3 linked regions of the Tamandua tetradactyla genome follow. The protein of the gene in region 1 interacts with the protein of each later gene in a biochemical or structural test. Links are inferred from orthologs where the notes say so. Each region holds a gene or a part of one and is shown on either strand. Other genes may lie near its edges. The genes, in order: SNAP25, CPLX1 and STX3.

Region 1 (9,258 bases):
CCCATCTGCTATGGAAAATGAGGAGCCAACAAGGAAGGAAGAAACAGAGGTGAAGTCATCTGATAAAGAAAACTTTAAGAAGTAGAAAAAGTATGGAAGGAGTGGTACACAGTGTCAAATGAACCCAGAAGTTAAGATGAAAACTCCAATGAATATGACTGAGAGATCATTGATGCTAATCACTGAGGTACTGGCCTGTATCTTGCCCAGCCTGGTGCCTGTTAACTGACAGAACTGTCCTGCCCCTCCCTGCCAGTACCAATCAAATAGTCCGAGGTATCCTTCCTCCATTCCCACCATATCCTGTATCATTTACCTCATCCCAGCTCAACTTGAGCCTCACTCTAGATTTCTTGGCTCATGAAATCAACCCCTGTTTAAGATCTTATATCATCCTCTCATAGCTAGTCGTCCATTTTGGTGTTCTCTTATGACTTCTGGTTGACCCTCTCAAGTATATTTTGAGTCCATCTTCTGACCCAATTCTTATTTAAGCTGCTTCTTAGACACTGACCTTTGAATTCACCCCTTTACTGTCCTTCTGCACTGTCTGCCTTTGAATACATTGTTTGTTTGCTGCAGATACCACCCTACCTGCCTAAACATATCCTTGGAACTCATCTCAACCAAACCAGTGGTCAGTGCTGCATGGACTCATCCCATTAGCAAAGGGGACCCTGAAGCTGCTATTGAAAAAGATATGCATGAACCACAGTATGATGAGGCAGAGAGGTTTGCTCTAGAGGGATGGACTAAAGTCTGATGCGGCCAGAAGAGCCTGTGATAAAGCACGGTGATTATGAGCCTGGGGTTCACATCTTACTTGTAACATGATTAGCTGTGATCTTGGTCAGTTATTTGACCTCTCTAAACCTCAATTCCCTCCTCTGTTTTACTTGGACCACAATATATTCCAGATCCAAGCACATGGTAAGTATTTCAGTATTGAGCAAATGAATGAATTAATACAGAAGAAAGGAAAACCCAGAGGGATTAAATGATATGCATCTAGTTAGCAACTAATGAACTCAGTCCCTCCATAGTATAGCAACAATTAGAGAAATTTAAAACCTTATCAAATTGATAGATTTACTTTATTTAACCAATATTTCATAGTACTCAACAAGTGCCAGACATAATTTTAAGTGCTAAGCACTTTCCCTGTAAGTTGGGTATAATTATTATCCTGATTTTGCCTATAATAAAACAGAGGTATAGTGAAGTTATGGAAATTATTAAGATGCTTAAAAGGTTTGCTGAAAGAGTACTGTAATCCCTTTCAAATAGCCTTTTTGAAGTTTGCTAATTTTGACTACCATTTCCCCATTCCCTTCTGCCTGTGATTGTTACACGTCTCCCCACGTGACCGCGTCTCAGAATTAGGGGGAGGGATGTGTTATGGAACAGGCCTCTGACTGGAGACCACTCCCCTCCTTTCCACAACACTGTTCTTAGTAAAGGACAAAATGGTATTTAAAATTCTAAGCATGCGGACTTATTGTACCTCAACATGGCAAGCCAGAAACAGAAAGCAATATCCCTGGCTCTCCTTCTACCTCTCACAAGACACGTCCCTATCTCAGAGGCTCCAGGAAACAGCCACAGCCTGGAGAGTTTAGACCTGGGGCATTTTAGCTTTCCCAAGTTACTATTAGGTCATGAGCTGTGAGTGGGGCAGGAACTGGGGTAACAGCTACAAGAATATGTAAAGAGAAAGTGACAAACACATCACGTGAAAAGCAAACCAAGGAATCAAAACAGTTGATCTGTCAAGCTGTGTATTCTCAAGCCCTCGTCTCATGCCCTCAGGGTGATCTGATACATTTTTCAGAGTGCCAGGTGTACCCCAAGGAGGAATTTGGGGGGATTGGTTTTGAGTTGGGTTAGTTCTAAACTACTCCCAAGTTGACTTTGGGTTTATATGGTATTTCATAAAATCTTATATTGTATTATCCTTCCCAGGTTGTAACTTTTGAGTCAACTATAAATTTTGCACCTCAGTAAAGAGAATACAAGCTAAATACTCTGGATCGGAAGCCATTACAAACCAGAACACCTCGGGGCCTGGTGTACCAGAAAACACCTTCAGAGACTGAATTAGCATAGTGTAAATATCCATCCTACAGAGCAGGTAATTTTCTCTTTCCTCATGGAATGAGTTCCTAAGCATTAGCTACTTTACATTTGAGTTATAGAAATAACTCACAGGCAGCTGAATCATTTTGGAACAAATTTTCTATCACCTTCCTTCTCTGTTATTCAGGCTTTTATAGACTCTGAGCAAAATGAATCTGCTGGTTGTCCTACTGTCAAAAATGACTGTAAATGTTTTTTTTTTCTTTTTCCTTTTTCTTTGTTTTTTTTTTAATCAAGCAACGAGAAAACCCTAAAGGGAAAACCTCATTATCATATTCAAAATGCATTTTAGGCTATCCATTCATCCTTAGTAGAATTTTTAGCTCCAAATGGACCTAAATGTCCAGTATTTATGTTTCTCTGCTGTCTTTTCCAGAGCGAGAGGAAGAACCTCTCAAATGGCATCCTTTTCAACACCAGCAGAGGGGAATGGAAAATGCTGTCACCACTGCAAAATAATCCTGTAGGGCCTGTGCCTTTCTGTGATGCTCTGAATCTGTCTGGCTCTCATCTTATCTGTAATTTTTTAAGACGTCAGCTTGGGGCAGCAGCAGTTGAAAACTCAGAACACATGGCCAGTCCTTCCCCAGTTGCCTTCCATATAGCTTCTGCCTGCAGGATAAGCTCCCCTCACTGACATAGTTACTTTTTTACTTTTTTTTTTTAATCCGGAAAATACCCTGTCCCCCACCCCCACCCCTGCCCCATTCCTTCACAAAACTTGCTGCCTGAATGACTTCTGATCTGAGAGCCCTACACATATTCTGTTTCTCCCCACTGCAGATCTGCCTCCTGCCTACCCCACCCCCAACGTCTACATGCTGCCTTTTTTGTGGGTGTCACATTTTGGAAAAAATCCTAACTATAAAAGATTTTGCAGTGCCATTGCATTTGTCACCACTTCTCCCATCCCATTCCTACTTGCTGTACCACGAAATTAAGAATCATAAGTAGGAGAGTTTTATTGGCAATTAACTATCTAAGGACTATACGGATTTTGATTTTCCTCTTCTTTATTGTATAAGAATCTTAAATGTTTAATAAATATTTAAGTAAACAAATTTCAGTAACGTGCCTTGTTTTAGGACTCCAACTTTAATAAAAATCCAAACAGCATTGGTTAATTATTATTGCAAAGATTAATATTTTGAAATACCTTTTTGGTCAGAGAATCTTTAGGAAACAATGACATCTACTCATTTAAATTAACGGCTTTCTTTCAAAATTCTTACAGCTTTGCTTCCTCTGACCAGTCCCTTTACGCCTCTTTTTACTCCTCTCGCAGGGTCTGCATGTCTCTCTCTCTCCTTGTGTGTCTCTCTCTCCAACACGTGCAATTAAAAGGCTTATAATTGTTTATGCTTGGAATGTGTGTGTGTGTAGGTGTAGGTGTATGCTGGGGTGGGGGACGTTTTATTGTGTGTCATTTTTCGGGACCTAGCTCTGAATGGCTTCTTCTAAAGCAGACAAGGATTTTCCATCGTCTAAAAGAGGCCATCAAGTTTTAACATTGCAAGGCACGACTTCTAATCGCATCCTTCCTGGAAAAGTACAAACAGTTCCTCAGCCGAAGTCCCCCACCTCCCACGCGCTCCCCAGCTCGCCCTCCCCGCGGAGAGCCCCACAACAACCTCCCCAACACCTGTGAATCATCGGAGAGGCTGCCACCGCGGAGCCATTTGCATACCCACCCCCTGTCGCCCCACCCCCACCCCAGCTCTCCCTGGTCGCCTAGTGCACAAGGGAGGAAGTATTATTGCTTTATGCTTATTATTTTAATCTCTCAGATGACCAGGAAAACTATCGTTTCTTGCCCACGTCCTGTTGCGAACATCATAAGTCCCCCAAATCAGCCTCTACTCTGACCCAGGGTTCGCGCATCGAGAGAATCACTAGAACTTCATCGCGTCCAACCCACCCTGGATCCTGCAGTCCTCCACCTTCCCCCGGAAGTCTGGACGGTCCTATACGTGCCTCCGAGGGCTGTTCTGAAGACACCCAACGCACAACCTCAGGACCCGATTGCAAATTCAAGCGAAAGCAGCGTCATCTGTTTTGCCCTCGGTAAACAACGCTACTCGGAGCCTCGAGCCCTTGCAAACCCACGCTGGTTGGGTTAACGACCCTTCGCTCCCCTCTCCCCCAGCTCCTTTGATATCTCTGGGAGATAATTGCTCTGACGTCCGTTCAAATAACGTGCGCGAGTCTGTCTTCCCAGCTGACCACATTAATACGAACTCCAAGCCCTGGGTGCTGCTTTGATAAAATGAACAAATCACTCATAAAAATAGTAACCCACGTAGCCTGGCCATATATGGAGCTGGCGAGGGTTGACAGGGATGCCCCTTCGGACCCTCTTCTTTGGGGAAAACTAATCGCTGCTGAAATCGAGCTCCCCCAGCGTCCCTCCCCGCCGCCACCACCTCCCTCTCCGCCTCCTCGGTCTTCCCCTCCTCCTTCCATGACTCAACTCAGCGGGGAGAATAAAGTATGCACCCCGCCCCCCACACACACACACATGGATATATAGACATAATATACATACAGGATGCAACATGTACACACAACATGCATATGTTAGCACACATATACAAACACACGTGTATGACACTAGAAAAACAGTCGTCAGATTAATGTGTTTTCCCGAGACGGTGTATTAAAATGCAGCCATAAGGATAGCCCCGTTTCAGAGTTTGTACGGGACTAAAATACAAAGGTTTCAGTAACGCTCACCGGGAGCTGAGTCAAGCGCTCGGCGCCTACCGGCTGCTCGCGTCCCACCCGCAGCCTCCGCCCTCCCTCCGCCCTCCCCGCCGCAGACTTCCTCCCGCCCCTGGAGGCGACGGCTATTAAAAGCTGCTGACGTCAAGAGGGACGGCCATCTTTGATGAGGGCAGAGCTCACGTTGCATTGAAGACGAAACCTCGGGGAGGTCAGGCTCTGTCTCGCCTTCCCTCCCTGCTCGGCGGCTCCTGCACACTCGCAACCTGCTGGGATCCGGCGAACACTACCCTCCCGGGAAGCCCAGGTAAGAAGCCCCCTCCCCGGGCCCCGGTGCTGACTCTGAGAGGTTGCATTCCCAAAGAGGACCGCAGCTGGGCAGACCTAGTGGCCTTGGGCAGTACAAGTATTTGTGCGCCTGGGGCGCGGTGTTCCGTGTGTGCGCGCCTGGCTGGACTCCCGCCTGGGGCTTTATAAAGTGTTTTTGAGGTGGGCTGCTTGTGGAAGGGATGAATGGGGCTACTGCGGATGGAGCGATGGGAGGGAAACGTAAGGATACGATCCAAATAATAACTTACTCTTTTAAAACTGTGGTGGGACCCTTTCTCTCTTCCATTTTGCGACGCAGTTTTCAGAGGTGTTTAGGCTGATGTTGTGTTGTTGTTGTTGTTGCTTCTGTAGACAAAAAGAAAAGAAAAAAAAATCTGTTCTTCTAACCCTGTTATTATGACTTGCCTTTAGCGTGCTATTATCCAGTGCAGAATTGAGGGAAAGGCAGGTTGTGGGCGTTGGGGAGGCGAAAGGAGGGGAAGGGGGAGAGTTCCCGTCCGGGGCAAGCTGAGCTGAGGCAGCGACAGCAGCCTCCTTGCCCCCACAGACTTGATTCATGCCTCCTGCCCCACGTCAACTGCAGCCTGGCGGGAGGCGGGCGGTTTGTGCCGGGTGGGAGGGCTCTGCGGAGAGCTGGCGGGGATGGGATGGCCTCGGGGACTGCGACGGCCCTCACTCAGCACCCTGGACAGCGATACAAAGGCCCGCGCCGGCGCCCGTGACCTTTCAGCACCGCGGACAACGACCCGGCTTCAGAGGCAGAGGGGCCTGGATAGGATGTTCTGTGCCAGGGCTGCAGGACAGATTGCCGCTGTGAAACCTGGTCTCACAGAGACCCCTAATGAAGTATTTAAGAGCAGACGTAGTAGGTAAAAAAAAAAATAATAATAATAAATAAATCATGCCCGCAGGGACTCCTTTGCAGGCAATGCCTGCTTTCTCCAGATCTCCTGCTTAGCTTTAAAAAAAATAACAGTCTACTTTGTGGAAACCTTCTGTTGCCCTTTATTTTAGGTAGGAAATAAACACATTTCTTAAATCTGCGTTTACCTTTCTACCGGATGTCAAGATTTGGTTTGTTTTTATGTTAACACAGAGCACGTAATGCACTGCCTACAGATCTTGGGTGGGCATGAGTGGGATAAAAATGAAGATGTCAACATTATCTATTTATAGGAGTGATCTCTCCATATATATTTCTATTTAGCAAAAAATTGGGGATAGCTGAACTAAGCATAATTAACTTTAAGAATGAATCCCTCTTCCTCTTTCTCCCCCTACTCTTGTAATTATGTATGAGCACAAACACACAGCCACAAAACTATGTTTCTGAGAAATATTTACAGGTCGTAGAGTGTATAGATTTAACTCCTTTAGTTAAGGTTTTAGAGTTATTGGAAGTAAATATTTTCTAAGGACATTGGTTATCTCAGGCTGAAAGCTTCTGATTTGACAACATTAAGATTGGGCTTCCTCAGTTGAATCCAATTGTGCCCTTCAGGGTAATGCAGGTGAAAGAACCATGTTAGACTAAAACTGGACTCTGGCCTAAAATTCTACTGCAATTTCTATTGCAGCACTGCGGGATTTTGCCAAGGCGACGATAGGTACTTGAACCATTTTCTACTCTGAGGCTCGGAGCCTCTAAACCAGCAAAAATCATCATAATAATATTTTTTTCTCTGTTTGATATATATAAAGATTGCATAAAATGACAAGTAAAATTGTGCTTTTTGAGTAAATTAGAGTAACAGTTTCATATGTAAAAATATATGCGACGCGTTAAAAAAATGCCATTATGGTCCTCTAAAACGCCCCAAATTAAGATCTTGGAATGTTTTTAGCCAGTAATAATTCCAATCACGTGTATACTAGAGGTGCTAAAATGTCCATCTACATGGAAAAGGTATTTTTGCTCCCAGCTATTTATTTCCTAGTGATTTTCCTTTATATGGATAACTATATATTTCATATATGCATATGTTGACCTGTATGCATGGATGTAAAGTTATTTGGGTGGAAATTTATTTGAGTGTGTTACTGCGTAAAAGAAGTTCATAACTCTGCAATCTGCAGAAGAAATAAACAACAGTTTTTTAGTGATGAGAAGAGGGGAGAAAAGATGGGCAGGAGTATTAAAAAATGCTTTGACTTCATGCTGTATGTCCAGACAGCTTTCTGCGTAGTTACATCAAATAAAAAGCCTAATGCTGCTGGAATTACGTGCTTAGATATTAGTAATTACTGCTGGGTTTGTTTGCAAGTGGAAGATGGGGGTGAAGAGGGAGGTGGAGGAGGACTGCAGTGAAGCTGGCAAAAAGCACAGTGCTGGGGGGAAGAGGAGATGTGCACAATTATGGAGTTAATTCTAGGATAGCTTCCTTAGAAATTAAAGAAAATCATAACTGAAGCATGAACTCAAATTTATATTGTTGATAAACTTAAAAAAAATCAAGGGAGTTCCTATTTTAAATTTTAAAAGTCTGGGGGGCAAAACAGTGAAAAGAGGCAGGAACAGATAGGAACATTCATCTATACCCTCTGATGGTACCTGCTTATTTGCTTCTATTGGCATTTTCTGCATTATCCACCACAGGATTCAGACTACAAAATAATATCCAGTCTACCTAACGTCCCCATGCTGATACCTCTCAGGAATTCACAATTTTATTTTTACTTTGTTAAACACGCACAATCACCCATGCACACATCCAGTACAAGCTGTCCCTTAATTAGCTTGTCTAAAAACATTCCTAAGCCCCAAATGTTAACCCCAGAGTGGTGTTTATCAACTGAAAGATCTATGTTTCTGTCGGTGACACCTCTCTGTGTAGCATCTGGCCTTTAGCAAAACGTATAGGTTGTGAAGGATTAGCAGAAGAGAGAGAAGTAATTTGAGAGATTGAGAAAGGAGACATGGAGCTGAAAAATAGATAACTCTGATTTCTAGACAATGCATATGAACAAACTAGTTTTCTCACATTAAAGAAATTGCTTTACAATTTTATAAAGGTAAGAAAATTGAGTGTTTCATCCTCTGCATTGGATATGTTTCTGCAATGTCATCCCTTGTCACTAGGGACCAATCTGATAGGAAGATATTGATTAATCAGTGAGCACCAGACATATAAATGAACCCCATTGGGGATATAAACATTCCTGGTTATATGGTCTTTGGCCTCAAGAAGTTTAACATCTAGTAATTTTAATAAAAAAATAACAAAATTGAAAAATGAATAAAAACCCAATATAACAATAGAAGAAAATCATGATGACATACATAATTAATTGCCAAGTGAATGTAATAAAAGAACTTGAACTGGCTTGTGGAGGTTGGAGAGAGGTGGGGAAGTTCTGCTAAGTAAAAGTGGCAGTATAAGCAGAATCTCAAGTTTGGCAAGACCAAGGTGTGGTCAGCAAACCCTGAAAATGCTCATCCATTTGGTTGGTGCAGAGATCTTGTATGGGAGAATATACTAGAACTGGAGTCAGAGCCTGCTATGGAAGGTTTTGAATGCCAAGAGGAGGATTTGATACTTTATCCTCAAACTAAAGTTGATTTCTGAGCAGAAGCTGATATTACAAAGTAACCATGTCTTTTTAGATATCCAGGAATTGCTATTGACAGGGTAGATCAGATTTGTGTTATTTCAGAAACAGAGGAGAACAAATTGGTATCATAGGGGATGATTAATTTAAAAAAAAAATAATAATCAGTCCTCATGTATATAAGATCATTCTTCACCCATAACTACATGGACATATAAGCCCTGCCCAGAAGTTAATTATGACTTTGTTGACTAAAATAAATTATTCAAGATGTGCATGTGCCAGAGAGACTGAAAAACAGGTTAGGAATCTGGTGTTAAGAAGTCACCAGACATCACACTTGAATAGCAAGCACCGTGCAGGATGCAGGCTTCTGCTCTCTGAGTATTCTGCATTGTCAAACACGGTGACAGGACTGATGAAAAAAGATGCCAGTTTTCCTGTGTGTGTTTCAGGCAGTGTGACGAATAGAATCAGCCCCAAGTGACTAAAATTGAAAGACAGAGCTGCTCTAGGAAAATT
Region 2 (10,072 bases), on another chromosome or scaffold:
CCTGGTGCCCCTTCCCCAGGGCTGTGCTCCCGGCCCCGCTGAGAAACCCTCTCCTCAAGGACCTCGAGGCCAGCTGGGCTCAGGGTGCAACCAGCCAGGCTGGTGGAGGGGAGGGCACACCGTGGGGCCCTGTGGCAGCCTGCCAGCCGCAGAGCAGAGCCCGGAAGTGCTGGCCTGGAGGTCAGGGGCTGCAGGAGAGGCCAGGGAACCCTGCAGTTTCACACTCTTCTCTGCTGGCCCCTCTGAATGTCACTGTCTGCTGGACCCTACAGCTGAGTTGGAGATACAGAGGGGTGGCTAAATGATTTAAGAGTGAACACGGAGATACCAAGGAGATGCCCATAGAGATGCCCATGAAAGTGCCCTGGCTCAGCCCCTCCCAGGGAAAATGCTTCCCAATCTTCCCACAGTCTGAAAATGCTGCCCTGACTCACAGCAGCCCAGTGCCTGGGCAGCCCCACACATGGAGTGTGCACCGGCACCCTGAGTGTGCATCAGCACGGTGAGCATGCACGGCACTGAGCATGCTTCAGCACGGTGAGCGTGCACCAACACTGAGTGTGCATCAGCATGGTGAGCGTGCTTCAGCATGGTGAGTGTGCACCAACACTGAGCATGCATCAGCACGGTGAGTGTGCACTAGCACCCTCATGTGCACTGGTGTGTGTAAGGCAGTGAGCTGAGTGCTCTGCTCCCTGAGGCGGAGCCGGAGGTCCAGCCCCAATGTCCTCTCCTGTTCTAGGGCTCCTGACATGCTAGGCTTCCGTGGCGTGTCCCCAGAATGCACAAAGCCAAATCTTCAGCTTCTACTGTCCCTGCGGAAAAAACCATGCCCTTGGGAGCCTGTGTCTGTCTGTCTAGTTCGGGATCCCGACCAGGCAGTCCCGAGGCCTTGCCGAGAGCATCGGGGACAGGAGAGAAAGGTGCCCAGAGGTTGCCCCCTTGGCCACACCCGGGCCTGACCTCAGGGCTGTCTGCAGAGGGCTGGGGGGCTCCCGCTGTGCTCCCTGACCCCTCCCTCCCTTTGGGGATGTGCACGGGGCTGGCCCCGACTCTTCCCCCAGTCCGTTCTTTCCCTCTCATTCTCTCTTTCTCCGTCTCTGGCTGTCTGTCACTTCCTTCTCTACTTTCTCTTTGTCACTCGGTCTCTACCACACCGTTTGCACCCCCAGCTCTCTCACACCCTCCTCCCTCTGCAACGCCCTGGAGCCCTGGAAGCCGTGTCCCCGCTTCCCGTGACTCCTCTGGACGGATGCCTGGTCCCTCGCCCCCATGTGGGGCTCTGGAACTGCTTCTCCCAGAGCCTCGGTCTCGGGGCTCTGACGCTTGCGGCCCCCCTCCCGCTGCGCACTAGGGGGCAGGTGGCCGCCCCCACGCGGGGCCCCCAGCGCTCAGCACAGCCGCCCCGACGCTGCTGCAGGAAAAACTTTGGGCTGACACGGCACAATGAGGGAAGCCAGACTGGCAATTACCCAGCTAATTTCAGCCATGTAGACAGCCAAATCAGATATTTCAGTTTTCTTAAAAACCCACCTCAGGGTCTGAATTAGCCACCTAATTAATTATCTGTAACAGCCTGGGAACCACTAGGTGGAACTCGTCCCCCCCACCCCCCCCCACCCCCGCGCCAGGGTGCCACCCGGCCTGCAGCCATCCCGCTGACGTAATCATTATAATTAGACCGGCCCTGTCTGCCCTTGACCAGGGACCTCTGGAAAGGCCCTGGGCCCTCGAATCTCGTGATTCAATTTGGGGAGAGCGGAAATGGAGCCGTTCTCCACAAGACAAATCCATGGTGGTAGCTCCTTCCCCGGGTGATAGGAGGATGGAGGGGGGAGGCGGGGGTAACAGTGGCTCCTGCCAACCTAGCCTGTCCCTTCCCCTCAGCTCTGGCACGACAGCCCCAGCCGGGTCCCTTTCTCTGACGAAGAATCCCAGACCCCTCCCACTGAAGGCAGCACCACGAGAGGCCTTGAGCCCATGTCACCTAATTCTCACTAGAGCATGAATGACACCAGTTTCAGGAGGGAGCTGTACCGAGGAAGGCACCTTTAACATAGCATCGAGCACTGGCCGGGCACCTCGGGCTGCAGCAGCGGGGTGGGCAGAATGCAGAATGGGTTGTTCTGCACGGACCTTCCACCCACTCAGGACAGCCTCAAGCCACTGGGGGGCCTGGGCTGACTGCACTGCTCTGCCAGGGCACATCTGTGCCAGCCCCTCAACCCGCGTTCCTGCTCATCTCCATGCCCCCAGTACTTCCAGTATTGAGACAGGGTCTCCGGCCATGATGACAGCCTGGCACCAAGCAGGGACAGGAGCCCCTCCAGAAAAGGAGGCAGCATGTTCGGACCTGCCCCCTACCCCCAAACATCCGAAAGAAGCTGCACAACTCCTCAGCAGGGGCCGGGGTCACCCTGGCCTCTCCCGTGGCCTCTGGGCTCGGGCCCCCACCTTTGCCGAGCAGCCAGCAGCACCTCCCACCCATGGCATGGTTCAGGAGGAGTGGAGCCCCTGCCCACCAGTTAGGGTTGGGCCCTGGTGCCCCAAGCGCACTCCGAGGAGCCCTTGGCACACCGAGTAGGTTGTTGCTGCTCAAGCAGGACGGGCTGCCTGCTGCGTGCCCCTGCCCCGCCTCCTGGTCCTCCCACACACACCCCATGGTGGCAAAGGACACTCAGAAGGCACCGGGTGCCAGCGCCAGCCTTGGGGCCCCTCCCTTTGGCTCTGTCCAGAGGGCAGCGTGGGTGTAAGGGGTCCCCTGGCCCCCTGCTGCCCCCACTCCCTACCTCCCAGGGCCTGCTTCATCACGAACTCCATGACGATGGCTTTGAGTCCTCAGCGGCTCCTCCAAGGGTCAGAATTCACATGCGAGTGTGGACGGAGGACCTTTGAGCCTGTGGGAGAGCACAGTGGTCACAGGTGACCCCACCAAGCTTAGGGGTCTCTGTGTGGGATGCACAGTGCCTCCTCTTATCTGCAAAGGCTTCTCCTGAGTGGGGGTCTGGGGATCAGAGAGAACACTGTTTGCTCCCCACCCCAAGTAGGGGGGGTCCCCTGCACTGGAGGGAGCCCCTGTGAGTCTCTCGAGAGTTCCTGTGGGTCTGTCCCTACACACTGACCAAGGCAGGCAGTCCCAGGTCCCCCGCTGGCCCTGCAAAGGGGTCTTCCAGCCACAGGGGCTTCTGGGGTCAGCTCTGGGCGGCGGCTGAGGGGAAGGAGCAGCACTCACAGCTTGGGGGGGGGTGGCTCGGACCTGTGCCAGCTGCAGAACCAGGGTGGAGCCCCGGGGCATGTGAAGGTGACTCAGTATCCCGCCACTGCGGTAGTCTGGGCGGGTGAGGGGCCAAGGGGGCTGGGGTACGACCATGGGAGGGTGGAAGGGTTAGGGTGGGTGGGCTGAGGGGGGATGCTCCTTAGGGGGCCCCTGTGGCTTCTACAGGGCTCTAACCCGGGAGAGACTCCAGAGCCCACTCCAACCGCAGTGGCCAGGACTGGTGTGGAGAGGAGGAGGGGCCGCAGGGGCCCACCCTACCGGGAGGGGGAGGACCAACCCCACCTCTGCATGGGGTGGGGCGCGCCAGGGTGCCCTCCTGGAGCCAAGGCCAGCTGGAACTCCAGCGGGGTTACACTTCCTGTAAAATCTCAGCAGCTGCAGCCTCCCCCACCCCCACCCCCTGCCTTGTGGGGTCTCTCAGGGCAGGAAATTTCGGACCCCTGGAGATCCACTGTTTTGTTGCTTTTCCCTCTGCAGACGGAGACCCGTCTGCGCGGGCTTCGGGAGCGAGGCCCGGCCAGCGAGTGGGGCTCCGCAAGGCGCAACGCCCAGGGGCGCCTTTGCCGCAAAGCAGGTTCTCTCCCAAACTTCTCCCCCGGCTCCCAGGGAGGGAAGGAGGGAGCCGCAGAGCCCAGCCGCGGAGAGCCCCGGGGTGCTGCAGACCTCCCCGCAGGAACCCGAGACACCCCTAGTGACCCAACTCCCGCCCCACGCGGGGACGGGGCTCCTTTCACCGCATCTCTTGGCCCTGCGGGTTAGTTGCCGGGGTCTGCCCAGCGACCCTCAGGCGGGAGCGCGGCTGGAAAGAGAAAGAGAAAGAGAGAGCAAGAGAGGGGAGGGGATCGCAGAGAAGAAGCTGAAGAGAAGGAGCAACAAAGACCCGAAGGAGGGCGCGGGCGGGCTCGGACCCGGCGGGCCGCTTCAGCACCGCCGCGGCGGACAGCGCCCGAGTCCGAGCCTCCGAGGTGCGGGAAGCCGGGGTGCGGGGAGCCGGGGTGGGGGAGCCCGGGTGGGGGAGACGGGGTGCGGGGAGCCGGGGTGGGGGAGCCCGGGTGCGGGGAGCCGGGCCTGGAGCGCGGCCGGGGCCGGGTGCGGGGAGCCGGGGCAGGAGCGCGGCCGGGGCCGGGGTGGAGAAGAGGTCGGTGGGGGGGGGAAGCCGAGGACGGGTGCGGGCAGGACGGTGAACGCGGTTACCTGCCCGGGGCCCGGCGGTCAGCGGCGGAGCGCGCTCAGCCCGGCGGGGTCCATGTGGCGCCGCGGGAATTGCGGCTGCGGTTGAAGGGCACCGCGAGGAGGGCGCGTCACTCCGAGGCGCTCCCCGCCCCCCGCCCGCGGCCGAGCATGACGAGGAGGGGAGGGGCTCCGGCGGGGCGGGGCGGGAGCGGGGGAGCCGCGGTCCCTCCCCTCGGCCGGCAGCCGTCGCGCGATCCGGGGCGGAGCTTTCGGACCCGCCCCCCCGCCCCCAGTCAAGACCCTCCTCACGGATCGGCCCCCACCCCGGCCCTCCCCGCGTGCGAGCTACTTCGAGAGCGCGCGTGGTGCCAGAGTCCTTGCGTGTCCGGCCAGAACGGGAGGGCCCTGGGGGCCACTGCGCGCGCCCACCCCCCCAGTTTCCTCGACCCCGGCCCGCCGGGACGGCTTTTCCCGGCGCGGGCGGTGACCGTGGTGTCCCCTGTCCCCGGCTCCGCCGCGACCCCGGCCCTCCTCGCACTGCGGCCTGGGGGAGGGAAGCCCAGACTCGCCAACCCGCCCGCACCCTCTTGCGGGGAGAGGCGCTGCGGAGTTGCCCCGGTCTGTTTCTCAGTGGAACAGGGTCGCAGAAAGCACGCGAGTTTCATTTTAGCGGGACAGAGGCCGAGAGACCCCCGAGAAAGCCCGCGGGAGACCCCACAGCTCCCGCGCGCGCCGGGGGTGTGGGGGGCGGAGCAGCGGCCGGGGCCGGGATGCGCAGGGCTGGCGGCCCCAACGCGGGCGGGGACGTGTGAAGGTCACTGCGGACCCGGGCGCTCAGTGCGGGACCCGAGCCCCTTCCGGGCCAGGCCGGGGTCCGCTCCGCAGAGGGGGCCGCACTGCTGACCCGCACCTCCGCGGCGGCCGCCCCCTTCGCGAAGTCCCAGGATTGCCTCTGCACTGCGGGGAGGGGGGCGGCCTCTCCCGCCTCCTGTGCAGCCAGACGTGCCCGCCCCGCGCACTGCTCCAGCTTCCGCGCGGCCGGGAGCCTCTGGGGGTGGCCTCCAGCGGCCACGGCTCAAAGCGGTCAGTGGCCCTTTCCGGCTGAGTCATGGACCCTGCAGCTGCAGCCCCTCGCCCTGCCTGGGAAGAACACCCCTCACTCTCCTAGATGCCCCTCCCCTCAGCCCCATCCATCAGGGTGCCCCAGGGGTCCTGGGCAGCAGAACCCACCCCACACCTACCTCCACTCCCACCCGGACATCCCCAAGCCTGGGGTCAGCTATGGCAGGCAGGGGACCGTCTGCAGAGAAAGGATGGCCCTACTCTGGGAAATCGTGAATGTTTCAAGGTCAACGCCCCACAGCCTCAGCTGCCCCTGGGCTGGGTGGGCCCCAGGGACAGGGCTCTGGGGTCTCCCTGAAACCCACAGGCTGGGCTGGACTGAGTGCTGCCCCCTCCTCCCGCCAATGGCACCCGTCACCAGGGTCGGACCCCAGGCCCCCTGCCCTGCTCCCTGTCAACCTCTGTGTCTGTCTCTCTGTCATCATCCTCTCCACAGCCGTCCACCCCCAGGGCTTCTCCAGCACTGACAGCATTCCAGGCCCTGAGAGCGCTGGGCCTCAGCCAGGGCACTGACGCTCCCCGGGGAGCCAGACAAGGTGAGAGCCAGGCCTGGGGCAGCCAAGGAGGCAGCAGTCTGAGGTGTGGGCAGGGGAGTGGGGAGTGTCCGGAAGAGAGCAGGGCAGGGGGCAGCCTCAGGAGAGTGGAGGGTGCAGAGCGGCTGGGCTCCTGTGGGGGTGCTGGGGCTGGGAGGGAGACAACTGGGGGTCAGCAAGGCCACGATGGGGGTTGGGGTCTGCCAGGCACGGCTGGGAGACCCTCACTCGGCATCACCTTGGGCACAGCTGCTCCAGGGGCTCAGGGGGCCAGCTTTGAAGCCCCACCCCCCAAGTCCCCACTACAGCCCACACAGGGGCACCCCCACGGCAGGAGGGGACTGCTGCTCAGCACCTCTCATCCGTGGGGATGGATCTGCCCTCCTGCTGGGGGTGGACGGTGCCCATGGGCGAGGGGACAGACCTGGACCCGTCATGCCTGGGAGTGCGTCCCTGTGGTGAGTGGGGCAGGGCTGCAGGGCAGCTCCTCTGGGACCCCTGCCTGCTCCCAGAGGCCCCAGGCCCTGCCGCGTCCACACGCCCAAGGGGCCAGGTGGCCGTGACCCCATGCTGCATCGCTGGCCCTGACCAAGCCTGGCTTCCAGCTGCAGGCATCCCCCCTCTGCTCCCCACCAAGTAGAGGCTGCCAGCACACTCTCTCAGGCCACGGGGTCTGTCCCCAGAGCCAGGAGAGCTGGAGGGTGGGCAGAACCGGGTCCTCGTGCCCTGTCAGGGACCAGGGTGCACGCAGACGCCCCCGAACTTCTCAGTAGATGCTGAGACTGTTGCTTTTTGGGGTGACTCAGCGCATGGCAAGGCCCAAATCCCCACCCGCCAAGGACCACACCTCGGGCAGCAGCAGAGTGCGGCCCACTGGCCCCGTGGCCCCGGTGGGTCCCTGCCAGGCTCTGCCGCCCCGCACCGTGGATCTGAGGGAACCAGCCCCGGCCTCCCCTGTGCCCCTGAGCCCATGCCTGGGCTCTGGGGCCCCTCATCTCCCCAAAGGGGTGCTCCTGGAGGTGGCCCACCTCATAGCAACCCCAGACCCTGCAAACCAGTGACCGCCTGCCCCTCCTCCTCCCCCACGGGACGCCCCATGGACATGGTGCCCAGGCCCTGCTCCTGCCTGCACCCCTCCAGGTCCAGGGTCGGGGGTCCCACTTGTCACCCCGACTCTCTGAGGACCCCCCAGCCCACTGTGGCCCCACGTCCCCCGGGCCCACTTGCCCTGACCCCACAGTACCCTCAGGTGCCCTCCACCCCCAGCCTTTTCTAACCTCAGAGCCTGCAGTTGGGGTGCGGCCCTTCAGAGCTGCTCGAGGTGGGGGACAGCCGTGAGGCTCCCCCTGCGCTCCGGAGGCAAAAACAGCAGGGGTTGCAGGGACTGAGGGCGGGGTTCTGTGCCTCCACCCGGTGAGGAGGGGGCGGGGGTCCTGGGGAGGGAGCTACAGGGATCTGGGGGCTGGGGCAGGCATGGGGACACACTGGGACAGCCTGCACGCCCCTGGACGGGTGGAGGCGGCCGGAGCAGGATGGAGGGAGGGCGGGTGGGTAGTGGGAGGCTGTCCCGGAGGCATCAGGACTTGGGGGTACCGAGCCAGCCCTATGCAGGCCGTGCTTCAGCTGCAGGCCTGAGGGACTCCTGGGGGCATCTCTGGCATCTGGGCAGCGTCCGTGCCTGGGGGCCAGCGGTCAGGGCCGCCCCTGACTCCTAGCTGCCCCACCCCCCCCAGCTGCACCCTCTCTGGCCTGGTCTCACGCTGGGGAAACTTTCCCCTAGAGGAAGCCAGGCAGGACTGCCCCTTCCACGCTGGAGCAAACACGTCTGCCGGTGGCCGCGCCCACCACAGGGCCCTCATCCCCAGAAGGTGAGCGCATGCACAGCGTGACGTGTCCAGGCAATGCACATGCCCTCATGCCAGGCCTGGCGGCGTGTCTCAGGACTCGCTGAGCGGCCCGAGGACCTGGATACCTGGGGTGGGAAGCAGCTGCCTGCTGTCCCCCATGCCCCCGACGCGTCCCCAGGGCTCCTTAGGTCGCCAGGGCTCAGCTCCTGGTCTCCTGCCCCGAGGCCAGGGCCCTCCAGCTGTGAGGTCCAGAGTGGCCCCTGGTGTCCTGCAGCCGGGCCTGGCGGCTCCTGGCAGGGACAGTGCACCAGGGGTGCTGGCTGGGGGGGCGGGGACGGCTCTCCCACACGCAAGCGCAGAAGCCATGGACCACTGAGATTCCCCCCGGCCCAAGAAGCACAGCTGCAGACTGGGGAGATGGATGTTATGGGGAGGGGTCCCTGGCAGAGGGGCAGGGGTCCCGGATAGAGAGAGTGGGAGGAGGTGCTGGTTTGTCCTCAGGACACGTGGGGCACCGTTGGGAAGCCGTGGGGTATCGGGAAAGGGGCCATAGCCCAGCCAGGCTGGGGCCCCCAGGATCCTCGGGTCCGGACCTCCGTCTGCTCTCGGCGTGGTGGCCAGAGTGACTGCGGACTGGGTCGGGGTGAAGGGTCACAGTGGCGGGATTAGGTCCCCGCAGCATGTTCTTGGATGGCCAAGGATGAGGGGTGCAGGGGGACGGGGCAGATGGCTGAGTGAAGCGTGCACGGGGCCAGCAGCAGTTCGGTGCAGTGCAGGACTGTGCCCCCCAGGAAGCGGAGCCCACCCCCATTGGGGTGCAAGCATGGGGAGGGGACCCGCCAAGGAGCGGCTTCGCAGCAGCTGTGCACTCAGCCTCTTCTGCCGCCTCCTGACACGATCGATCCCCGGCCCAGGCACTTCCCAAAACACAAATAAGCAAAACAAACAAAAAATCAACCAAACAAAAATTCAACAAATGGTGTGCCAATAATCGGATACTTATGGAAAAAGAATGAAATGTGGCCCCGCCATACAGCATACAAAAAAAAAAAAATTAAATCCTGCCATCTTACAAGCAAATAAGTATATCCAAAGAAAAGGAAGTAGGACTGCAGGAAGACGGCAGAATACGAAGCTCCAGGTATCAGTCCCTCAGCTGAAACCACTGTCGACCTGGCAGGAGCACCCGAGGCCCCCCAGGGAAGCGCTGGAGGAAGAGGCTGCTGTGAGGGCAGGTCCACGGGTCAGCGCGGCCGGGTCATGGCACCCAGCTGTCCCGTTCTGAGGGCATTTCGTGGACTTAAACCATCGGTAAATTGGGTGCTCCATGGCCAATGACATCTGCAGTTGGCTAAGGTGGGTGCCCTCAGCAATGAGACCCACTTCGCCCAACCAGTAGAGGGCATGTGGAGGAGAGCAGAGGACTTAAGTCAGAAGAGAGAATTTGCACCTCTACCTCAGCCAGCAGCCTCTCCTGGGAATTCATCAAAACTGTCTTCAGAGCTGCCAGCTTGCAGCCTGCCCTAAGGAATTTGGATTTGTGCATCCCCACGGTTGCGTAGGGCACTTATAAAATCTCATAATATTTACAGATATCTCCTGTTGGTTCTGTTACTCTGGAGAACGCTGACCTGGCTTTAAGTCGTGGCAAATAGTGAGTTTTGCCCTCCCTGTAGTAGCCCCAGCCCCCGCCCTAGCCCCAGCACCCGTCCCAGCCCCCAGACTCTAGCCCCAGCCCCCAGCCCCCAGACTCCAGCCCCAGCCCCCAGCCCCCAGCCCCAGCCCCCAGACTCCAGCCCCAGCCCCCGCCCCAGCCTCAGCCCCAGCCCCCAGGCCCCAGCCCCAGTCCCCGCCCCAGCCCCAGCCCCCAGCCCCAGCCCCCAGACTCCAGCCCCAGCCCCCACCCCAGCCTCAGCCCCCACCCCAGCCCCAGCCCCAGCCCCCAGACTCCAGCCCCAGCCCCCAGACTCTAGCCCCAGCCCCCAGACTCCAGCCCCAGCCCCCAGCCCCAGCCCCCAGGCCCCAGCCCCAGCCCCCAGACTCCAGCCCCAGCCCCCAGACTCCAGCCCCAGCCCCCAGCCCCAGCCCCCAGACTCCAGCCCCCACCCCAGCCTCAGCCC
Region 3 (9,838 bases), on another chromosome or scaffold:
ACGTAGACTGACACATTCATTGATCAGAAGGTGGGTGAGAAATTCCAGGATCTCTGCCTTTTGTCTTAGGAAAGAATACATGCACCTGAAGAGATTAGACTTGAATCTTAACAGGGACTTGAAGAAGGACCGAACTGAAGCATCACTTCTGGCAGGTGCCTCCTCAATGCCCTGTCCTCATCTCCTCAAAGCCAGCAGACTGGATCTTTCCATGGTTGTCTCCATCATAAGGACCACAGCATACCTGTGGGTCTCTCTACTGACCATGACTGACCATGAACTCCTTGAGTAGTTTACCACTACATCCCAGCACCTATCGCAAAGCTTAGGGCACTATAGGTATTCAGTAAATCCTTGCTGACTAAAAAAAAGAGCCAGGCAAAAGGACGCTGGATCAGGAATTGTCTGGACTCAGTGGATCCAAAGTTCAGCCAGTGAGGAGAATTAACAAGAATCTCCTCCCGACATAGGCTGGTGCAAGCAATACACATTCCTGGTAAGTCTGTCCTACATCACTGAAGAAGACTGCTGAAGAAGTTTTCCAGGAGGACAGAGCACAAGATAAGTTAAGTAGGTCTTGTGACTATATCCTCAGCATGGACATGACTGCCAAGGGGCCAAGTTCAAAGTCACATTTACTGAACCTCCCTGTAGTGGTAAGCAATTGTCATGAATTTTCCACTACGACCCCTAGAATGGCCCTAAGAGTAAGGTATGATAGTCCATATTTTACAGCTGTACCTCCAAGCCCTAAATCCTACTGGATTCCAGAAACTTGTGTTTTTACAGTGCTTAGGACAGAGTCACAAACAATGATGCACTTTATAGAACCTCAGATTTTAAGAGTTGAGGGAAGTCTTAAATCTCCTAGTCCACCCCTCCACTAAAGAGATGCTCAAATTCCTTCAAAATCTAACAACCCAATAAGTTCCTTGTCTTTCTCCCATGCTGAGGGACTCACTACCTCTTCAGCAAACTGGCCCTACGGGAAGCAGCTCCAACTACTCAAAAGTGCTTTTTGACACTGAGTTCTGTTTTTAAACCATCAACCCCACATCTTCTCCTTGTATCTACACAAAGCAAAGTTAATCTCATGACAGCACATGGCAGCTCTCCAGTTATCTGAAAGCAGTTAGTACCTCCCTTCACTGAGGGTTTAGAAAGATCTCTGCAGAAACAGATTGCAAAGGCTGCTCAATGTGCAATTTATTTCATGGGGGTTAACAAATGCTTTTCGTTGATAACAGAAATCAGATAAGAAAGATGGCATATCTTATTGCAGTGAGGGTAATTTCTCTCCTATTGGGGAAAATGAGGGGGAGGGCGGGCAGGAGGAGGAGGTGAGAAGAGGGGGCCTAGACACCCAAATCGACACAAACCCGAACAATATTCTTCATAGGAAACACGAATATTGCTAGGCTTCTGAGATCAACAAATTCCTTACTTTACAAGGGAGGACTCAAGAAACAGGGAGGTAAAGTGATACAAAAGACCACAGCTATTAAGTGGGGGAGCCACAGTTAGAACCCCTTAAACCTGCAACCCCATCTTCTTTCACTCCACTGCCACGCCTCTTCCTGCTCCAAAACACTAGAGAAGCCACCATGATTTCAGAACAACCATCCCATGACAGCAGCACCCACTTACAATCTCACTTTCACAACATCCCCGAGGTAAAGTGAGGAAACAGGCCATTAGCTCTGTTTTTATAGAGGGTAAGATTAAGGTGCAGAGAGGGAAGGGGATTTGTTTGGGTTCCCCAGCAAATTGAATTTATACTTGGAACTCAAAGCTCAGTTAAGACTCTTTGCTATTTGTGGACAATGGGCTATTGAAAGGCATTGTAAAGTATCTTCCTCTGGAAAAGGATTTCCTCACTAAAGGAAAGGAGCCACCTCCGCCTGCTGTTCAGTTTCGTACTGTTTTTTGTTTGTTTGTTTTTGTTTTTTTTTTATTGCTGGGCATGCTGATACGGGAAGATCTTCAAAACCAATGCTCTTCTCTGCATCCTGTCTCCCCAGCCAGCAAGCTTCAGAAGAAAGAACTCTGTGGGGAGAGTTAGGAGATGGAGTTCCTCTCCTGGTTGTGTCCTGACCAGCTCTGTAGGCTAAGGCATGACCTACCCAGGCCAAGCTCCCATCTGCTCATCTATAAACAGGAACAATAAATTCTGCCCTGTCTACGTACCCAGGATGTTGTAAGGCTCAGAGGACAAAGAGCAAGTGTTGAGGCAGGGAGGCTCACTCCCATGAGAAGCAACTGTCCTTTTGCTTCTCTCACTTCCCCAGCTCCCTCACCTTCTCTACAGCCTCACCACCCAGGGAAGGAGAAACGGTCATGAAGGTCTTATCCAAGACAAAGGGGAAGAATGACACAATTGTAGAGCAACCCAATGGTTCCCAGCACTTGTATGAGATCTATAATTTTTCAAAGAGCTTTTAGTTATTAGCGTAATATTTACCACTTATTAAGTCCTATGTGCACTGTACAAAGGGCGCTCGCTGTAGGTGGTTTCACAAATACCCATTTTACAGATGAGGAAACTTCAGACTCAGAGGTTAAGGGAGAGCAAGTCAGCAATAGAGCTAGGATGAAACCCCAGTTCTCTCCAATATCCAGTCCAGTGTTTCCCAAACTTGAATGTGCTCATGCGTCACCCAAGGAGATTAGTGAATTATGTGGATTCTGGTTCTGAAGGTATAGGTTGGGCTTGAGCTTCTGCATTTCTAAGAAACTCCCAAGTAGATGGAGTTTGAGTTCCATTGCGGGAGAGCCTGTCAAGGCACTCGATAATTATTTACTGAATGAGTCAGGGAATATGTAATTCACAAACCCATGCATTATCACTTCTCTATATGGAGTCTCATCACATAGCTTCATTCTCATAACAAAACTCTAGGGTATGATAACCCCATTAGACAAGCAAGGAAACAGAGGCACAAAAAGGGGGTAAGCAGCCTAAGGTTTTACATCTTTCTTGCAACTGGGCTGGAGATGGTCTACTTTAAAATCCTTTGGTCTGACCACAGCTGCCCCAAGGGAGGCAGGTTAAATTGGTAATTAAAGATGGCCGGAGAATGAAGGAGGTCACCCACGAGTTCCGCACAGCTTCCCGCTCCCTAGGGGAAAGGGTACCGGGCTCGCGCCCGGCGGGAGGGAAACAAGAAGGAAGGTAGAAGGAGGCCGGCCCCAGGTGGGTGCAGTCAGCAGCGCGCAGGTGGAGAGGGGAACCCCTGACCTCAGCGGGATCCCCGCCAGGCCCAGCACCCCGCAGCAGGTCCCAGCTCGAGGCTGACAAGAGTCCTCCTTGGAGGGTGAGGGGGCCAGAGGTTTTCAGGAAAATCGCTGCCTAGAGTTGAATCACCCGGCACATGACCCGGGACGGGAGGGGAGGGAGCAAGAGAAAGGGAGGGGTGCGGAACGGGCGCGGGAGGCGGCCGGGGCTTGGCAAGGACAGGACTTGCACCGGCCCCCCCACTCCACCCTCGATTTGGGGAGCAAAGGGAAGCCTCCCTTCCCCCGCACACCCCGGGCAACCCCCACCCCAAGCAGCCCCCAGCCCGCGTGATTCCGGGTGCAGCGGGACTCACGGCCTTGAGCTGCTCCAGCCGGTCCTTCATCCTGGTGCCCCGGAGCCCGGCGACAGGTGAGCGCGTCCCAGGTGAGCGCGTCCCAGGTGAGCGCGTCCCAGGTAAGCGCGTCCCTGGTGAGCGGCCGGAAGTGGCGGCCGGGCCGGGCCGAGAGAGCCGGAGGCGGAGGCGGGTAGCTGCTGCCGCCGGCTAGGAGGAGCGTCCGAGGCCTCCGGTGGCTCCGCCGCGCCGCCCTCGGCCCCCGCCGGCGCCTGGAGCTCCAAATCCGGCTCCCCGGCGGGCTCCGGCGCGCGGCCCGGACCCGCCCACCCGCTCCGCCCCTTACCTGGGCCACGCCCCGCGCTCCTCCTTAAAGGGCCCGCGCCCCGCCGCCGCTGCCGGGACTGTCTCTGTCCTCCTGCCCTAACTCGGCCCTGCGAGGGACCGGGCACTGGGGATCCTGCCTCAGGGCCGAGGAAGAGTGACTGAGCCTGTCCCTTTCTCTGTGATAGCCATTAAGCGACTACTTGGGCCCTCGAAAGACTTATAGCTGTAGACAACGAACTCTGGTCCCTCTTGTGCTACGATAGGTGACAGGAAATTGTGTTGAGGCTGTCCAAGAGGCAGCAACCGATTCCGTGGGGAAGGGCATTCCAAGTAAAGGGAACAGCGATTGCGAAGGCACGGAAGCCGGAATGTGAGCAGTCCCGAGGGGCGGCTGGAGCTGAAAGAATGTGTTCCGAGAGGAGTTAGCTGGAAATGAGGGGGGATGAGTCCGGCTGGGGCAAGGAATTTGGATTTTATGCTGTTGATGATCGGGACCCTTCAGGGAAAATTTCAGCAGCTCAATGTTGAAGTGAGAACCTACCACTAGCAAGCGTATAACTTTGGGACAGCCTCTGTTTCTCTAGGGGATTCGTTTCCATATCTATAAATTCGTTTCCACTTCGTAGTTGCTGCGAAGCCTGTGTGAGAAAAAGTGAATGTGGTTGGCAAAGCTTAGAGGAGATGTTTGTTATTGGAAAGCTGAAGCCATTCTCATTTTCTATGTGATGTAGATTTGTTCAGATAGATTGTTCCTTCTGAAAAGGTGGGAGGTTCTTCGCACTGCCCCTCCCTCTTTTTCTTCTCCTACCCACTTCCTCCTTCCTTATTTGTCGTCTTGGAAACAAATGACATACCCTGCACAGCGCCGGAGTTCAATAAATGGGGCTGACGGACAGAATATTTAAGTCGTAAGTCTGGAAAAGGATCTGCTCTATGCATTCAGGTTTAAAGGTTTTATATATTATCGAAATTCTAACAGGAGTTTTCCCTCTTCTGCAATTTTAGTGCGTGCTCAGAATGACTTCATCTCCTTCCACAAAGACCAAAGACACAGCCTGCAGGGCAGATCGGATTGTCTGAAATGACCCTGGGGGTCTCAGCACTCCTCCCTGGTTCATCCTGTGCCTTTCCTTGTGTTTGCTAGTGGCTCTCCCGGAGATTTTAAGTGGAAGGTTTACCGCCCCCTGGTGGTCATAAAAGGAAAAGGTGAGTAAACCGGAAAGCGTATTCCACCTTCTCTTAAATTTTTGTTAATATATGATACTGAAATCAAGGGTGGCCTTTCAGCTTCTGCTTGACACATCTAGGGATGAACGTCAAGGCTATCTGTTAAAGATAAACAAAAAAATTGGTTTTGAAAGAGTAAACTCATAACTCTCATACAAATATGAAATGAATACACATCAAGGATTTTATTTAATTCATTAATTAATGAGAGAACCAGTGAGGTGTTAAAGACTTGTTAAGAGGAGCATCCAAAAAGTAAAACAAATGTAGGCAATCAAGAATGCCGAAATGAGTGTTAATAAAAGCAAAACTGGCTTCTGGGACTGGGGGGAAACCAATATCACCTCCAGCAGACAAAGTTCTTTTGCATGTCTATGAACGAAAATTATTTGCATTACTGTCAGTTTTCTACAACTAACAGAGTTTTAAAATAGCTAAAAACAAACCAACATGAAAGGCACAGATCATTATAAAATCAGATAACCCAGAAAGGTGCATTAGACAAGACTTACCTGGCATGACATAAAACACCTAGCAACCATTTTTTTCTCTTTTAATTTTTTCACACAGTCCCAAAATAGTACCTTCCATGACTGAACAGCTTCAACTGTTGTTGAAAAGCACTTTATTGGACAGTGCCACAATGGATCACCAGGTAGAGTTTTCACCTGCCATGCCAGAGACCAGAGTTCGATTCCCGGAGCCTGCCCATGTGAAAAAATAAATAAATAAAAAATAAGTGCTTTGTTACCCAGAACAGGATTTTCCTCTCTATAACTTCTGCCATTATTTCATACTCCTTTCCTTTGTCCAGAAATTTAAGAAACTTAACCTTTCCTCCACAAGATGGCCTTTGCATGAAAGGTGAGGGACTGTGGGGCAGTAGAACAATTGGTGAACACAAATCCATGAGTTTTGAAATCAGCTCTGCCACAAAATACCTGTCCCTTGACATCACACCATCCATTTCCTTATCTGTCAAATAAAGGACCTGACCAAAATTAGCAGTTCCCTAACTTATCAGAATCAAGAACATTGTATATTCTTTATTTTCATGCCTGGATCTCTTGTTTTGAAAGAGTCTGTGTCCCTAACAAAATATTTGTATTCGGTAATAAGGAATATGGTTTCCTATGAGAGGATGTTTCTATGACTTATTGGAATATGGTTTCCTATGAGAGGATGTTTCTATGACTTATTGGTGAGCTTATGCAGCCTTAACAGAAATGATTGTATGATTTCCCTTGAAATTATTTAACACTGAAAGAGCATAGAGACCCTTCTTAACTGCGATTGGAATTCAGAAACCCAGGAAGGGACTCACAAGCAGAATTCCCTTATTTTGTTCTTCTATTTGAAGGTCATTATTACAGACTTCAAGACTCCTTTTAAAACTTCAATTAAGCACAAACTATATTTCATTAATTTTATATTAATATTTGCTCATCCCTCATAGACAGAATTATGGATTTCACCTGCCAGTTGTGTACAAGAAACTGAAGAAATCCACATAACTCTCTGGACAAGGTACCTAGGGGAGGGCTGGGTCCATGGGATGGTGAGGAAAACTCTGATATGAAACCCCAGTGGACCATAGGGTCTCCAGGTAGGCAGACAGTAATTGAAGGCTCCAGGTTCAGTAGGAGTTTGAGCCCCTTCTTTCTGATGTATTTTCATTTTTATTCCCCCGATGGTACTTGGTTTCCCACCTGCTAGGTCCTAGCATAAAGGTTTCCCCATTAAACAATTCAAGGATTTGCATTTTTGTTATAAATAAATCAGCCAACACTTAAGTTTGCCTTGATATACAAACCAAAGAGAGAATCCTTGGTTTTATGGGGTCCACTTTCCTCTCTCTCTCTCTCCTGACTCTTAGGCTCTTTCTTTCCCACTGGAGAGGAGAGCTGAACCTTACCCCATTTTGCTGTAAGGCTCCTCAGCTTGCTGTAGAACAGGTGATACCACTTTCTGACTGGTCTGCCTTGAGACCCTGTCTCTAGGGTGTGGCATTCAGTAGCCATAGATAAAAGGAGTGGCAGAATTGAAGGAGAAGATCTTTTCTCTCTCTTTACAGCAACTCTTCCCCCATTGCAGGGAGAATGGAGAACTATAAGGATGAAGAATAATTTACTGATTTGTGGTTTTTTCCACTGTATAGTTTGTATTAGTTATCTATTGCTGCATAACAAATTGCCCTATAACTTAGCAACTCCAAACAACCAACTTTTATTATATCACAGTTTCTGTGACTCGGGAATCCAGATGGCACTTAGCTGGGAGCCTCTGCCTCAGGGTCTTTCACAAACCTACAATTAAGGTGTTGGCTGGGGCTGCTGTTTTATCTGAAGGCTCAACTGGGAAAGCATCTGCTTCTCAGCTCACTCAACTGGCTATTGGCAGGAGACTTCTCTTGGTTCCTTGCTATGTGGGCCTCTCCACAGGGAAGCTCACAATATAGCAGCTGGCTTCCATCAGAGCAAGTAGGTGAAAGAGAGAGAGAGAGAGACAGATGGAGGACAAAGTCTTCTTGTAATTTAATCTCAGACGTGATGCCTCATCACTTTTTTCATATTATATTCCTTAGAAGTATCACTAGGTCCAGTGGACACTCTAAAGGAGGGGATAACATAGGTCATGAAGACTGGGAACCAACTCAGTGGTGCCTGGCACACAGTTAAAATCCCTCACTATGACAGTGTTATTCAATTCTACCTACTTAGAGCTCTTTTCTTCCCTATATCTGACATGGACAACTTCTACCAATTCTCCAGGCCTCAGAAGAGATGCTTCCTTTGGGAAGCACCTCATCTTCCAGGATTTAGTTAAATGTCCCTCAAACATGCCCCTAGGAGAATCTGAACTTCTCCATCATAGCCCCTACCTGGCCACTTGTTTGCCTGTCCCACTATCTGTGAGCTCTGTGAGGGCATCAGCGTTGTCCACTTTGTCCACTGATATGGACCCAGACCTGACCACAGGGACATTCAGTAAATGGTTATCACATTTTATTAAAGGAATCCTCTGGTACTGTGGTTCCTATGCCCATTTGAAAGGATTATGTACCCTAGAAAAGCCATGTTTTAATTCTAATTTATCTTGTGGAAGCAACCATTTCTTTTAATCCCTATTCAATAATGCAGTTTGGGATCTTTTTATTAGATTATCTCCAAGGAGATGAGATGCACCTAATTGTGGGTATTAACCTTTGCTTAGAGGGAGCTGTGACTCCAAGCAGGTGGGTCTTAATTAGTTTGCTAGAATCCTTTAAAGAGGAAACATTTTGGGGAAAGTTTCAGAACCATAAGAACCAGGAGAGCCACAAGACACAGAGTCCATGCAACTAGAGGCCTTTGGAGAGGAAGAAAGAAAATACCCCCGGGAGAGCTTCATGAAACAAGAAGCCTGGAGAGAAAGCTAGCAGATGTCGCCATGTTTGCCATGTGCCTTTACAGTTGAGAGAGAAACCCTGAACTTCATCAGCCTTTCTTGAATAAAGGTAACTTATTTTGATGCCTTAATTTGGACATCATTATAGACTTGCTTTAATTGGGACATTTTCATGGTGTTAGAACTGTAAACTCTCAACTTAATAAATTCCCCCTTTTAAAAGCTGTTCCATTTCTGGTATATTGCGTTCTGGCAGCTAGCAAACTAGAATAGCTCCATTTACATTTTTCTTCTGATTATAACCCATCAATGCCTTCTCATTATGAGTAGGGAGACCATAGTCTTCTTAGAATGATGCCCAAGGCTTTCCCCAATCTGTCCACCTTCTCCCTTCCCAACCTCACTCCTGTGTCACTCCCTGTCACAACAGAGCCTCACCATCAGCCTCAACAAGTCTCACCTCTTCCCTGAACCTAGAGTGCCCTTTCATGATTTCCTATCTACCTCTGCCCTAACGTTTCACGTCTGGCAAATTTCCACTCCTCCTTCAAGATGAAGACCTCCCCAGTTCACCCAGCTAGCCTTCTCAGCCTCTGCCCCTTGGTACCTGTCCAGATCTCTTATTCAAGCACACTCTATGTTGTCTCGTACGTTGCTCTTTTCCATTGGTCTCCCTGGCTGATGAACTGCTTGAGAGCAATGACCAGGTATTATTTACCCTCGAATATCCAGGGCTGCCATGATGTACTTGCGTTGCAAATATTTGGAGAATAAATCAAAAAAGAATTGACTACAAACACACACATACATGCATACATATACACATACGGGGAGTCTTCCTCTCCTCTCCCTAAAAGGGAAAGAAGAGCCTTCCTGGATCTTGGCTTTTAAGACAAAACGCAATTTGTAACTCCACGTGATTTAAATGATGAACTTTGCATTGCTGAGTTGAGTATTTTAAATAATACACTTACTTATAAAGATATAACATATTGTCCAGATATTTTCCTAACAATCTCCATATATTATATAGGAATGCTTGTTATCTAACTATAAATAACTTACACCATAAATTTGTTTTGATTTTTCCACAAACTCCTGAAGCCCTGGAACTCTAAAGGAAAAAGCACTGGTGGAAAGAGCCTTGTGTGTTTGTTTGAAGCTGTATGTACCCCCTGAAAAACATATTCTTACACCTAATACATTCCTATGGGTGTGAACCCATTATAACTAGGGCCATTTTATAAGATTGCTTCAGTTAAGGTGTGGCCCACCTCGATCAGGTTGGGTCTTAATCCTATTATTGGAGCCCTTTATAAACAGAATGA

Evidence for each region.
Region 2: the proteins of SNAP25 (region 1) and CPLX1 are reported together in a solved structure, tested with the Homo sapiens proteins (2 studies listed by BioGRID, with this or other methods). The link is inferred for Tamandua tetradactyla from reciprocal best matches to the Homo sapiens genes SNAP25 and CPLX1.
Region 3: the proteins of SNAP25 (region 1) and STX3 form a complex in vitro, tested with the Homo sapiens proteins (2 studies listed by BioGRID). The link is inferred for Tamandua tetradactyla from reciprocal best matches to the Homo sapiens genes SNAP25 and STX3.

The regions. Positions count from the first base shown.
Region 1 is NC_135327.1:50,602,427-50,611,684, reverse strand, and holds the start of SNAP25 (synaptosomal-associated protein 25), read left to right. Parts: upstream 1-5,035; 5' UTR 5,036-5,164; intron 5,165-9,258.
Region 2 is NC_135345.1:414,328-424,399, forward strand, and holds the start of CPLX1 (complexin-1), read right to left. Parts: upstream 4,579-10,072; 5' UTR 4,472-4,578; intron 2,898-4,471; 5' UTR 2,821-2,897; coding exon 2,790-2,820; intron 1-2,789. UniProt on the Homo sapiens protein: Positively regulates a late step in exocytosis of various cytoplasmic vesicles, such as synaptic vesicles and other secretory vesicles.
Region 3 is NC_135335.1:15,514,920-15,524,757, reverse strand, and holds the start of STX3 (syntaxin-3), read right to left. Parts: upstream 3,832-9,838; 5' UTR 3,621-3,831; coding exon 3,591-3,620; intron 1-3,590. UniProt on the Homo sapiens protein: Potentially involved in docking of synaptic vesicles at presynaptic active zones. Apical receptor involved in membrane fusion of apical vesicles.